Linked DNA regions of Cricetulus griseus. The protein of the gene in region 3 purifies or fractionates together with the protein of the main gene of each other region. This does not show direct contact. Links are inferred from orthologs where the notes say so. Each region holds a gene or a part of one and is shown on either strand. Other genes may lie near its edges.

Region 1 (3,716 bases), about 55 Mb from region 3:
GAGAATGTCTCAAAATTAAAAATATGAAGGCTGAGTCAGGCAGTGGTGGCACACGCCTTTAATCCCAGCACTGGAGAGGCGGAGGCAGACAGATCTCTGTAAGTTCGAGATCAGCCTGATCTACAGAGTGAGTTCCAAGAGAGCCAGGACTGTTACACAGATAAACCCTGTCTTGAAAAACAAAACAAAACAAAAAAACAAAAGAAAGGAAATTTGTTTTAGTTGGGCGTGATGTTACATGCCTTTAATCCTATCACTGCAGAGGCTGGAGGATCTCTGAGTTCTAGGTCAGTCTGGTCTGCATAGTGAGTTCCAGGACAGCCAGGATTTTGGAAATGTGTTTTAAAAATTAAAAAAAAAGAAGAAGAAAGAAAGTAGAAATGAATTCAAAGAGTTCTTCCCATCTTACTTTCTGCAGGTCGGAAGTCTATGCGTCAATCTACAGCTGAGCATACTCGACAAACATTCCTTCGCGTTCAGGAACGGCAAGGACAGTCCCGGAGGCGAAAGGGTCCCCACTGTGAGCGACCACTAACCCAGGAAGAGCTGCTCAGGGAGGCCAAGATCACAGAAGAGCTCAACTTACGTTCACTGGGTCAGTCTGTGAGGTGCATGAGGAAAACTGAAACCTGGAGGACCAGACAAATGGAGATTGGAGGCAAAATGATTAGAAAGTTCACACTTACTAGTTCCGGCTCGTGGGGTGGCGGTGGTGCACGTCTTTAACCCCAGCACTTTCTGGGGAGCAAGAGGCAGGTGGATGGATCTCTGAATTCAAGGCCAGCCAGAGCTACATAATGACACCATGTCTCCACCCCCAACACACCTCAAATAAAAAAGGGAAACTGTCATCAGGAATTGTATTTCATCTGAAAACTGGACAGACTATGTCTGAGCCAGGAGCAGGTTGGTGGTCGTTTGGGGTTGGGAGAAATGGAAATCAGTGTGTTCCTATCACAAGGCCTCTTCCAGTATTGAGTGGGTAAGGACCTGCTTATATTTGAGAAAGGAAGGACTTCTATAGCTGGCCAGAGTAGCAGTGATTAGATTAATAATTAAGATCATAGGACAGGGCCTAGTGAGATCTGTGATAGCTCAGCAGGTAAAGGTACTTGCCAACAACCCTGTTGACCCAAGTTTGATCCCTGGAGTTCATATAATATAAGCAGGGAACTGACTCTGGCAAGTTGTTTTCTGACCTCTACATGCATGTGCACATGTGCGTGTGCAGATGTACTCGAGAGCGCACACACACACACACACACACACACACACACACACACACACACACACACACACACACACACACACACACACACGTAATTTAATAGATCACCGGCCAGAGCTACCGTGTGGGAAAAGATAGACTGATCCTTCCCTCGTTCTCCTGTTGATCCTCTTGCAGAGACCTATGAAAGGCTGGAGGCTGACAAAAAGAAGCAGGTTCACAAGAAGCGCAAATGCCCTGGGCCAGTAATCACCTACCATTCAGTGACAGTGCCACTTGTTGGGGAGCCTGGTCCCAAGGAGGAGAATGTGGACGTGGAAGGGTGAGTGAACCCCGTCTCCCTGGCTTCTCTTAGAGGTTACTTCCTCCTACAGACGTTTCTCATCCTTCTCTCAGCTTATTCCTTCCTGTTTTGTTTTCTTGAACAGTCTCACTGTGTAGCCCAGGCTAGTCCCAAACCCATGATCTACCTGCATCTTCCTCCTTAGTACTGGGATAACAATTGTGAGTCATCATGCCTTGTTTTTGTTTTGTTGATTTGTTTGTTTGTTTGTTTTGAGACAGGGTTTCTCTGTGCAGCCCTAGAAGTCTCTCAGTAAATCAGGCTGGCCTAGAAGTCACAGAGATCCACCTGGCAATAAAGGCATGCTCTACTACCTCCCAGCATTTTTATTTTATTTTATTTAAATGTAAATCAATATTTTACCTGTACGTATGTCGGACCTGGTGCCCATTGAAGCCAGAAGAAGGAGACAGATTTCTTGGAACTGGAGTGACAGGTGGTGTGAGCCGCTGTTGGGTGCTAGAAGTGAAACCAATTTCCTCTGGGAGAGTAGCTGGTGGTACTCTTAAATGCTGAGTCGTCTTTCCAGCTCCCTGCCCAGCTTTTTGTTATTGAGACAGGTACTTGCTCTGTCTCTCCAGTGGCTTGAAGCTCAGGGGAGTCATCTTCCCTCAGCCTCTCAAGTACTGACAATACAGCCATGTACCACACCACACCCAGCCTGATTCCTTGCCTTCTCCTCGGCATTTTGTAATTTTTCTGTCTTTTGCCCTCAGACTTGATCCTGCTCCTACAGCTTCTGCACTGACTGCACATGCTGGCTCTGGACCTGCTGTCCCTCCTGCTCACTGCTCACGTACCTTCATCACATTCAGTGATGATGCAACATTTGAAGAGTGGTTTCCCCAAGGGCGACCCCCAAAGGTCCCTGTTCGGGAGGTCTGCCCAGTGACCCATCGTCCAGCATTGTACCGGGACCCTGTTACAGACATACCCTATGCCACTGCTCGAGCCTTCAAGATCATTCGTGAGGCCTACAAGAAGTACATCACTGCCCATGGACTACCCCCTGCTGCCTCAGCCTTAGGCCCTGGCCCCCCACCCCCTGAGCCACTCCCTGGCTCTGGACCACGAGCCTTGCGTCAGAAAATTGTCATTAAATAGATTCCTGCTCCATAGAAACGTCTTTCCTCTGCCGACCTGGCTCTCAGTTCCTCCTCTTCCCTTTGTCCTCGATGAGCTTTGCTGTTTTTTTTTTTTTTTCACCATTTCTTCTCCTAGTTCATTCTGGTTTTGTTAGAATGTTGTTTTCTTTTTTTAATCTAATAAAATGGTAAAATCCTTTTTGTATGGTATGAATATGTGAGTGTATTTGTCTACTTGGGTTGTTTAATTTTGTTTGTGCTAGGATTGAACGCATGGCCTTGTTCATGCTGGACATGTGGTTCACTACTGGGATACCCTCTCACCTTGTTTTCTCACTCTTTCCCTTCTTCCCTCCCCTTTTTCTCTCTTTTGAGATGGAGGTGTCTGTATAGCCCAGGCTGGCCTCAGCTAAGATCTCCCTGCCTTTGCCTCCCAAATGCTAGAGGTAGTCTTGGCTGTCACACCTGTCCTTAGGCCTTTTTATTGTTTGATAGCACTTGATGATATGAGCTGTTGTTTGTTTTTGTCTATAGATGTTTTGTCTGCATGTATGTGAATACAGTATTCACATATGTACATATGATATACACAGAGGCCGGAACATGAGATTGAATCCCCTGGAATGAAGTTACAAACAGTTGTAGCTGCCATGTAGTTGCCAGGTGCTGGGGTCCTCTAGAAGAGCAGCCAGTGTTCTTAACTTTGCCACTTAGCCATTTCTCCAGCTCCTCCTCCTCTCTTCTTCCTCCTCTTCCTCTTCCTCCTCCTCCTCCTCCTCCTCCTCTTCCTCCTCTTTTTGTTGTTGTTTGTTTTTGTTTTTTGAGACAGAGTTCCTCTGAGTAGCCCTAGCTGTTTTGGAATTCCCTCTGTAGGCCAGGCTGGCCTCAAACTCACAGAGATCCACCTTCCTCTGCCTCCTAAGTGCTGGCATTAAGGCATGTGCCATCACCACCCACCCTTTTTTTTTTTTTTTTTTTTTTGAGACAGGGTGTCTTAGGGTTTCTATTGCTGTGAAATGACACCGTGACCATAGCACCTCTTTCAAATGAAAACATTTAG
Region 2 (4,125 bases), on a different chromosome or scaffold from region 3:
TTACTGCCCTTTTGAAAATATTTTATTCCTTTTTCTTATATTTTCCTTTTTCTGTGTCTTGTCTTTCCTTGGCCTCGTTTCTATTCCGCAAAAGCAATGTTGTGGAATGGGCCTCAAAAGGCCCAGCCAGGGTCTGCCAGTGCTCAGCGCCTAACAGGCTTCTTTATTTCTATGTGGCAGTCTGGTGAGGACAAGAACAGTAGGACTTCAGTTTGCACATCTTGAGCCACTGTAAGAAAACCACTGTCCCAAGACTACAAAGATAGAAAACTACGAGATAATGTAAAACCTTAAGAGAAATAAGTCTATTTCTAAAGGACGTATTTTCTTTTCTTTTTAAATATATTTGCTAGATTTCTAGTTACCTCCTGTTTCTTATTGGTCATTTTTTTTTTAACCTGGGAGGTGGTCTTTGTGTTGTTTGGATGGGGTACATTCCTGACGTGATAACAAGATCCCCTGTAGGCAGTGTGTGTGTGGTAAGTGCTAAGTGCTCAGAGTCTATTGAATGCTGACTGTATGTGTAATAGTAACTGAGCAATAAAAGGACACCAGGTAATGTCCTAAATGTGAGGCATTTGGCATATAACCCCATTTTCAGGGTATGGTTATGTATAATATTTTATTCTTGCAGCCAGGTTGTCAAACAGTGGAAATAAGCTGCTAAGTAAAACATTAAATATTTTATGTTTAAAATCATTTTCTTTTGATATAAACATTTCTGAATTTGCAGTGATATCTATTTTCTTTGGAGAAAATATAAGAATCTTGTATCCATGGACGAGTAGAAGAAAGGCGCATTAGAATTTTTAAGGAACTTTCTTTTCAGGTGTTAGTGAACTCCTTGCAATTGAATAATGAATGTATTTTAACTCTTTTACAGGCATCCTCTGGTATTACGATTCCAAAGCCTCCAAAGCCACCAGATAAGCCGCTGATGCCCTACATGAGGTATAGCAGAAAGGTGTGTACCAGGGACCAGGACCTGGCGAGGACCCCAGCCCTGCTGACTGGCCTTCCGTGCCATTTCAGACTGGCTTGGTGTCTTCCTTATACATATTTGGGGAAAGGATTAAAAACTTATAATTTTTTTAAGTGGTTCATTCTGATTTCAGAATTCCAGAACTTGGATCCAAGAGGAGCATGGTTAAATAAAATGCTAAAATGTATTAATCAGATTAGTCTGGAGCCATGAAAGTAATGTTAGTATCTTTTGGAGAATATTGGAAAACATGAGGAAAATGTTAAATAGAAAAGCAAATATAAGACTGTATATGATATCTTTATTAAAAATAATAATGTCTGGGATGTAGTTCAATAGCAAAACATTTGCCTACATGTAAGAGCTCTTAGGATCAATTCTAAGAGCATAAAATGAATAAGTATGATCAAATATTATTTGATCATAATTATTACATATATGTTTGATAGTATGATACCATTGTATTATACAAATTAACTACTTGTAAATTTGCATGAACTGTTAGAGATATAGTCTTAATTATTCGGTCAGTTTGCTGTAAGTGTATACTGTGATTACTGATGTTCTTAAATTATCAGTTTGAAGTATTTATGAGTAAAATGACATGGTGTATGAGATCCAGCAGGGTAAAGATGAAGTGAGATAAGCCAGCTCTTGGCAGTTTTAAAGCAGACTGATTGGTACATACTAGTTTGATACTCTGATTTTGTTTGTGTTTAAAGGTTTTCATGGTAGAGTATTTTTAAATGATTATATACTGAGGCATTAATACTGAGTTTTCAACTGTTAACTTTTAAGGTCTGGGACCAAGTAAAGGCTTCCAACCCTGACCTAAAGTTGTGGGAAATTGGCAAGATTATTGGTGGCATGTGGCGAGATCTCACTGATGAAGAGAAACAAGAATATTTAAACGAATACGAAGCAGAAAAGGTATGGGGGGTAAAAATAAAATATTCTATTATTTACGAAAGAAACATAAGGCTGAGGCAGCACTGAAGTTCTGTCCACCAAGTTCCACTCACCTGACATCTGAACCTCGTGTTCTCTGTTCAGAGAGATGATTGTCCCGACACCATGCTTGGCCTCATGCGCCTGACATTCAGATAGTGGATGCAGGCACACAAGGTAGCCTGTAGGATTGGAATTATAAAGCCAACACCCCTTTCCATTTCAGATAGAGTACAATGAATCTATGAAGGCCTATCATAATTCCCCTGCATACCTTGCATACATTAATGCAAAAAGTCGTGCAGAAGCTGCATTAGAGGAAGAAAGTCGACAGAGACAGTCTCGCATGGAGAAAGGAGAGCCTTATATGAGCATTCAGCCTGCTGAAGATCCAGACGGTAAGGGGGGGTGGGCTTTCCTATGTGCATTCTCTCTGAATTAAAATAGAAGATAAATCTTAACTCAAGGCTTTTATTTTAAATGAAAAAGTGTAATTTTAAATTATTTCAATAATAGGATTTTTTTGTGTATGACTTTCTCATGAGAAAAATACTCTTTAAAAGTATGTTAAAATGATTAAGGAAAAAAAGCTGTATTTATTACTTTACAAAGTCTTTGTACTCAGAACATAGGATTTGTTTGTTTTTCAAGACAGGGTCTCACTGTGTTATCCAGATTTGCCTTGAACTGATTCTCCAGCCTCAGCCTCCAAATCCTAGATTATAGGCTTCTGCTGACACACCCTAAGCAACATTATAGTCTTTTTGTTTGTTTGTTTGTTTTATGTGTGTAGCAAGCCTATAGGTTTGTGTGTGTGAGTGCAGCACCTGAGGAGGCCAGAGAGGGTGTCAAATCCTCTGGAGCTGCCCAACAAGCATTCTAGGAATTGAACTGTGGTCCTTTAGAAGAGTTCTACATGCTCTTATCTGCCACATCCATTCTTACAGATTACCTAAATTTTCTCTTAAGTGCAAAAATTAATGAGTGTATGGAAGCATTATAAAAGCTTAATTAAAAATCCAATATGAATTTGAGAATACCACACATGAGATCACTCATGAATGCCTGTCATATATTACACGTCGTCAGGGTATCAGACATTACACATATATTACTCACAGATGGACGGGCTTCCTAATTAGCATTCCATGTGCAGATTACTCTCCTGACCTCCCAGGCAGGCAGTCTACAGTCTCAAGGACACCCCCACCCCCACCCCTACCCCCGAGATAGCCACCTCCCTTTAGGATCATGCTCATCCATGTACTTATCCTGCTGTGTGAAGGTTTACCTGTCTCTGTGTCCTACTGAATGCTGGACAGGATTGGAAGCAGCAACTACCAGCCACAAAAACACCAAGATCATAATTTAAGATCCCACTTTAAACACACCAGAGGGAGTTCTTCAGAACTTTAAAAAGATTTAAAGAGTGGAGGAGGTTATAATGGCACCAAGACAGGAGTAAATTCAGCTAAGTAAGAGGAAGAATCGGAAGTGAGCTTTGAAAGGATTCATTGGAGTTACTGGCAAAAGTTCTCATAAATGCAGTAGAATGTAATAAAATGTAGACTAGAAACAGGAATTGAGTGTTAAGCATTCACATTGCTAAAGATATATGCAGACTTTAATTACCCAGATGAAATAGTTGATGCAAGAAAGACATGACTAAAACTATAGAGGAGCAAGTCTGCAAATAACTGGGAGAATGGAGATCTATGTGGTAGAAACAAAGGTTGGCAACATAGAAGCCATATGTAGAAAATAAAATATTTCCTAAGCAAAATGTAACAGTCAAAACTAAGTTTGAAAGGCTCTTACATGAGCAGTAACATGGAATATAATAATTAAGCTGTATTGATATAATATGACCTTCTAGGACAGTGGTTCTCAACCTTTCTAACATTTTGACCCTTTAGTAAAGTTTATGTGGTAACCCCAACCGTAAAATGATTTCATTGCTACTTCATAACTGTAATTTTGAATTACAGTTATTTTGTTATTGTTATTCATAATTGTTATGAATTGTAATATAAATATCTGATATGCAGGACATCTGACATGTGACCCTGTGAAAGGGTCCTTTGACGCGCACGCATGCGCGCGTGCGCGCGCGCACACACACACACACACACACACACACACACACACACACCCACCCACCCCAGGGAGTCAAGACCCATAGGTTGAGAACCACT
Region 3 (4,592 bases):
TCACTTGGCAGTAAACAATCTACAGTGTAATAAGGCGCATAGCCTCAGTCATAGTTACTATGCTCTGCTGTTAGAGCCAAAGCAGTGAATAAACTTGGCTATGCCCCAACAAAACTTATTGTAAGTTTACTGACATGTATCATAGGATTCTTAAAAATGTTTTTGAGCCACTTAAAATGTAATGATATACATGGTGGCACACACGTATAGCACTAGCACTCAGGAGGCAGAGGCAGAATTACAGTTTGGAGATTAGCTTGGCCTACACAGTGAAACCTTGTTGCAAAAAAACCCCGACTGGAGCCATCATTGTTTGCTCACTGCACACAGTATCAGTTAACAGGAAAGTGTTATCTTATAGCTGAATTTCCCATTCTTGACAGGTCAATTTATGCCATCTTGCTGGCACTGAGATAGATGGGGTTTTAGTCAACCTTCCTAAGGTTATGAGTAGCTATGAGCCTTAGACCCTTGACACTCCAATTTAAGCATTGCTAGTAGTTACAAAGATTTATGTAATCTTAAACCATGAGTATTGGAATGGCAGGACAAGTTTGGGTATTTTTATAGATCAAGCTGTCTGAAAAGCCTGAAGAGGCAGAGGAAAATTGTTGCAGTAATCTGGGGAATTAAAGACACTGTTCTGGACAACGCTGGTAGACATGGAGAGTAAGAAAGTAGACATAGATTGGGGATATATTTAGATCTGGGTGCTTCCTTGAATGGCGCTCCATTTTTTCTTGGTGGAATGACTTTCACAGAATGAAAGAAATTGATGTCACGATTTTTTCAGTAGTATCTGAATCTAGCTGAAATAATATACTATCTCTTATTATAGACATTTTAAAAAATGCTGCAATCTATTATTATATCTGAGTTGTTGATCAATTCAAAGTGTAACACACTTTTCAAGTATAAATGTTCAAGTTTTTTTCTGATAAAAAAATCCTAATTCATCACAATCCAAGGTCAGGGATTTCTAGGAGGTAATTCCTTTTTTTTTTTTATTAGTTCAAATTAGGAACAAGCTTGCTTCAGATGTCAATCCCTTCTCCTTCTCCTTCCCCTGCCCCCCAGTATCCTCTAGGAGGTAATTTTAATTCAATCTCCACACTCCTTGCAGACACCCGCCTTTCTCCTCCTGAGTTCCCATTGGCTCCTGAGGTCAGCCACTCTCCACGACCAGCGCGGTTGCTGGCCCAGCCTGGCTTCACAACTCTCAAGTACCTAGTCGCTCTCAAAACCCCGCCCACTCCCCAACGAAGTTCCTCCCACTTGCCCGCCCACCTGAAAATCCCCTTCCACCGTCTTCGCGCGCGACGGAGTTCACTTTCTCCCATCTGTTTGTCGAAGCTCCGCCCCCTCTACCGCTCGCTCGCTCGCGAGCCTCCGCCCACTTCACCGGCCCGCAAAGCCCCGCCCCCTTCTGCCCGTACCCCAACTCCTTCCCTTCTTCCGTCGTTTCTACCTTTCCCCGCCCCCACAGCTGTCTTTCATTGGCTAAAAAGGCTAAACCGCGCGGGGATGCAGCAGAGCCACATTCTGATTGGCTAAAGGCTCAGCCGGGCCCCTTGTCATTGGTTGATACGAGAAACCAGCAAGAGTGGCTGTGCAGCGGGCGTGCGGCCGCTGCTTTGTTGCCGGAGGGGGCGGCGTTGGAAGTTGCAGGGCCAGCGTTCTCGGGAAGTGGAGCCGCGGCCGCTGCTATCTTTCCCTCGGTAGTCTTCGGCCAGTCCCCGCCCGACAACAGCCATGAGCGGCGGCGTGTACGGCGGAGGTGAGTGAGCGCGGCAGTGCCTCGGGGCATGCGGGCCGGAACGACCGGCCCGGTCCCTGGCCGCTTCCGTTTCCCTCCGGTCCCCGGCGGGCCCTTCCGGTCTTTGGCCGGTTCTTCCGGTCCCCGTTCGGGTCAGGGCCTCTCCGCCTCTTCGGACCCGGAGCCCGCGTGCAGTGGGCTCTCGGAGATGGCCTCGAGGGAGGACCTTGCCGCATCTTGCCCCTGGGGCTCCAGGACCGGCGGGACTCTGATGGCAGTCACCTGGCTTGCGGGGTCCCTTTCCGTACCGGTTCCTCCGCGTGTTCGTCCTCCGCAGCTCGCGGAGGTTTCGGGCCCTCGGTGTGGGCTCTGGGTGCGAGTCGCACCCGGTGTTGACGCTGCTGCTCCCGATGGTGCAGCAGCTGCTCCCGACTAGATCTGGTTCCTGGTGTGTCCGGTCTCTAGATGAGCGGAGCGCTGAGGTACGCGCTGCTGTTCCCGTCCAAATGGGCAGGAGCCTTTTATAGATTGGTGGTAACGAAATCAAGGCTCCCAAGTACTTGTTTATTCACGTGTAACTAGTTAGGGACTCTTCTCTGCTTGGATGCTGACAGAAGATGGGGCCGCTGTCCCCCGCGTTAATGAAGAAAGTATTGGAAAAGTTAAACAACAAGCCAAAAATTAAAAAAGATTCCTTTGTAAGTTGGGAGCAAATAGTTTCTGGGATGAGGAAAAGGCATTTCAGAAAGGCCATTTCTTTCTCTGCTGTGTACGATAACATGCACCCAGTAGTATCGTCACACACACTACAAATATGTTTCTGTATTGAGTCAGTAGATCAATGCCCACTGGTTTTAACTGCTGTGTAGGGTTTTGTATGAATGAACTGTAGCTTTTTTTTCTAGAAACTGCTAAATTTATATGTCTTTTCCCTGGCAAGAAATATGACAGTAATAATTACAATTAGCTAATTTTTATTGTTATGATTCCAGAGGGAAAAGAGTCCATCATGACAGGGAGGCATGGCAGGCATGGTGGTAGGAGCAGTAATCTCTGAGCTCAGATACTGAAATCAGGCATGAAGCAGAGAAAGCAAACTTGGCAAACTGGGAATGACAAGCCCTTAAACTCAAAGCCTGTGCCCAGTGACTACTTCCTATATCAAAGCCCATACTTTCTAAGTCTCGCCAAATATCATAGGTGATAGGAGACCATTTTCATTGAAACAATAGCATGTATGTTTCCTTTTAAAATAGGAATTGCACTAAACTGGATGTCTGAATAGCTGTGTGATTTCTCTTTGGGTGCCTCTTTGTAGCTAGCACTGAATTGCACATGGTGGCTGTTGTGATTTATAGCTTTAGTTAGCATTATAGAAGAGCTTCTCTTAACGCCTTGGCAATTGAATTATGGTAAATAGCATTGGTATTTTAAATGTTGGGGAAGAAATCCTTTGACAAATCAACACTGAAAGGCCAAAGTGCATTATTCTAGGATGCCTGCTGTTTGGGGTGAAGTACTTGAAAAAGATGAATGGAGGCCTTTCCCTGAATTTGACTGAAAAAAATTGCCAGCTTTCTTACTCAGCATTAAACCATCTCCTAATGTCTAGGATGTGTAGCCTTAATGAGACCTTCATTTAATGCTTTTTATTTGGCCTCTATACACTGTAAGCTCTGATTCTCCATGCTCTCCAGTTTTCATGTTTTGTTGTGTTTCTTCATTACATGAAACATAATTTCTTACATATGATTAAATGGTACTTTGATACACTTTGTTGTGTGTGTGCATGCGTGTGTGTGTGTGTGTGTGTGTGTGTGTGTGTGTGTGTGTGTGTTTTGTTGTTTGCTTTTTTTTTTTGCCACCAGATCCCCTTGTTGTCATTTGCATTCTTCTGTGCTTATTATAGAGATAGCCTCAGTGGTCTGCCTCAGTCTCTGGTTTTAGCTTTGATTTGGTGACGGTAGGATAACTGTACTTCTTGCCTGTACCTTTTGTTCTAGTGTAATCATTAAAAGCTGGTGCCCCTGACCCAAGTTAAAAGTGTTCCAGTTTGGATGCTAGATTATAGAGTCTCCCTGGAGGTTGGAGTCTTATGAGCTTGGTCCTCCCTCCCTGAGCAGGCAGCCATAGCTCACTGCAATGTCATAGCCCCCAACTGCTCTCCCCACACAAAATCTTCTCTCTGAAGTTCTGGTAACAATTCCTTCTTATTTCCTCAGTTTAAAGGATTGCCAGGGCACTGGGCTGTCCCTTCTGCCTTTATTTATTTATTCTGTTGTCCTTTGTGACTATAGGTGTTTATGAACAGTCCCTTTAGTAAGGGAACTTCACTACTTGCTGTCATTGTACCATGTCTTTCCTGATTAAACCTCTACTGGTAAACAAGGTTAAATAAATCTTGGAGGTATATTAAAACCAGGTTTTAGCCAGATAGACATGGTAATGCTTGCTTTTAATTCTAGCACTTGGGAGGCAGAGACAGGTGGGTCTCTGTGAGTTCTAGGACAATTAGCATCACATAGAGACCCTGTTTCAAAACAACAATAACAAAAACTAGCTTAATGATATATGAACATAATGAATTTTTGCAAAGTTTTAAATATTCTCATTTTATACACATAAAATATGTTAGTTGCTAGTCGTAATTCTCTCTCTCTCTCTTTTGGTTTGTTTGTTTGCTTTGTTGAGACAGAGTTTCTCTGTGTAGCCCCAACTGCCTGGAACTAGTTCTGTGTATCAGTCTGGCCTGGAACTCAGAGATTTGTCTGCCTCTACCCTGCCTCCCTCAATGGGATGTGTAATTGTTTTTTAATCTTTTCAGATGAAGTTGGCG

The links. The genes of interacting proteins can lie anywhere in the genome.
Region 1: the proteins of Actl6a (region 3) and Vps72 purify together in Homo sapiens (affinity purification with mass spectrometry; 3 studies listed by BioGRID and IntAct, with this or other methods). This does not show direct contact. The link is inferred for Cricetulus griseus from reciprocal best matches to the Homo sapiens genes ACTL6A and VPS72.
Region 2: the proteins of Actl6a (region 3) and SWI/SNF-related matrix-associated actin-dependent regulator of chromatin subfamily E member 1 purify together in Homo sapiens (affinity purification with mass spectrometry; 9 studies listed by BioGRID and IntAct, with this or other methods). This does not show direct contact. The link is inferred for Cricetulus griseus from reciprocal best matches to the Homo sapiens genes ACTL6A and SMARCE1.

Annotation. Positions count from the first base shown.
Region 1 is NW_023276806.1:61,380,087-61,383,802, reverse strand, and holds the end of Vps72 (vacuolar protein sorting-associated protein 72 homolog), read left to right. Parts: intron 1-418; coding exon 419-595; intron 596-1,405; coding exon 1,406-1,550; intron 1,551-2,287; coding exon 2,288-2,675; 3' UTR 2,676-2,774; downstream 2,775-3,716. UniProt on the Homo sapiens protein: Deposition-and-exchange histone chaperone specific for H2AZ1, specifically chaperones H2AZ1 and deposits it into nucleosomes.
Region 2 is NC_048600.1:113,355,022-113,359,146, forward strand, and holds part of SWI/SNF-related matrix-associated actin-dependent regulator of chromatin subfamily E member 1, read left to right. Parts: intron 1-883; coding exon 884-964; intron 965-1,780; coding exon 1,781-1,912; intron 1,913-2,156; coding exon 2,157-2,328; intron 2,329-4,125. UniProt on the Homo sapiens protein: Involved in transcriptional activation and repression of select genes by chromatin remodeling (alteration of DNA-nucleosome topology).
Region 3 is NW_023276806.1:116,645,978-116,650,569, reverse strand, and holds the start of Actl6a (actin-like protein 6A), read left to right. Parts: upstream 1-1,600; 5' UTR 1,601-1,752; coding exon 1,753-1,777; intron 1,778-1,981; exon of another isoform or gene 1,982-2,238; intron 2,239-4,580; coding exon 4,581-4,592.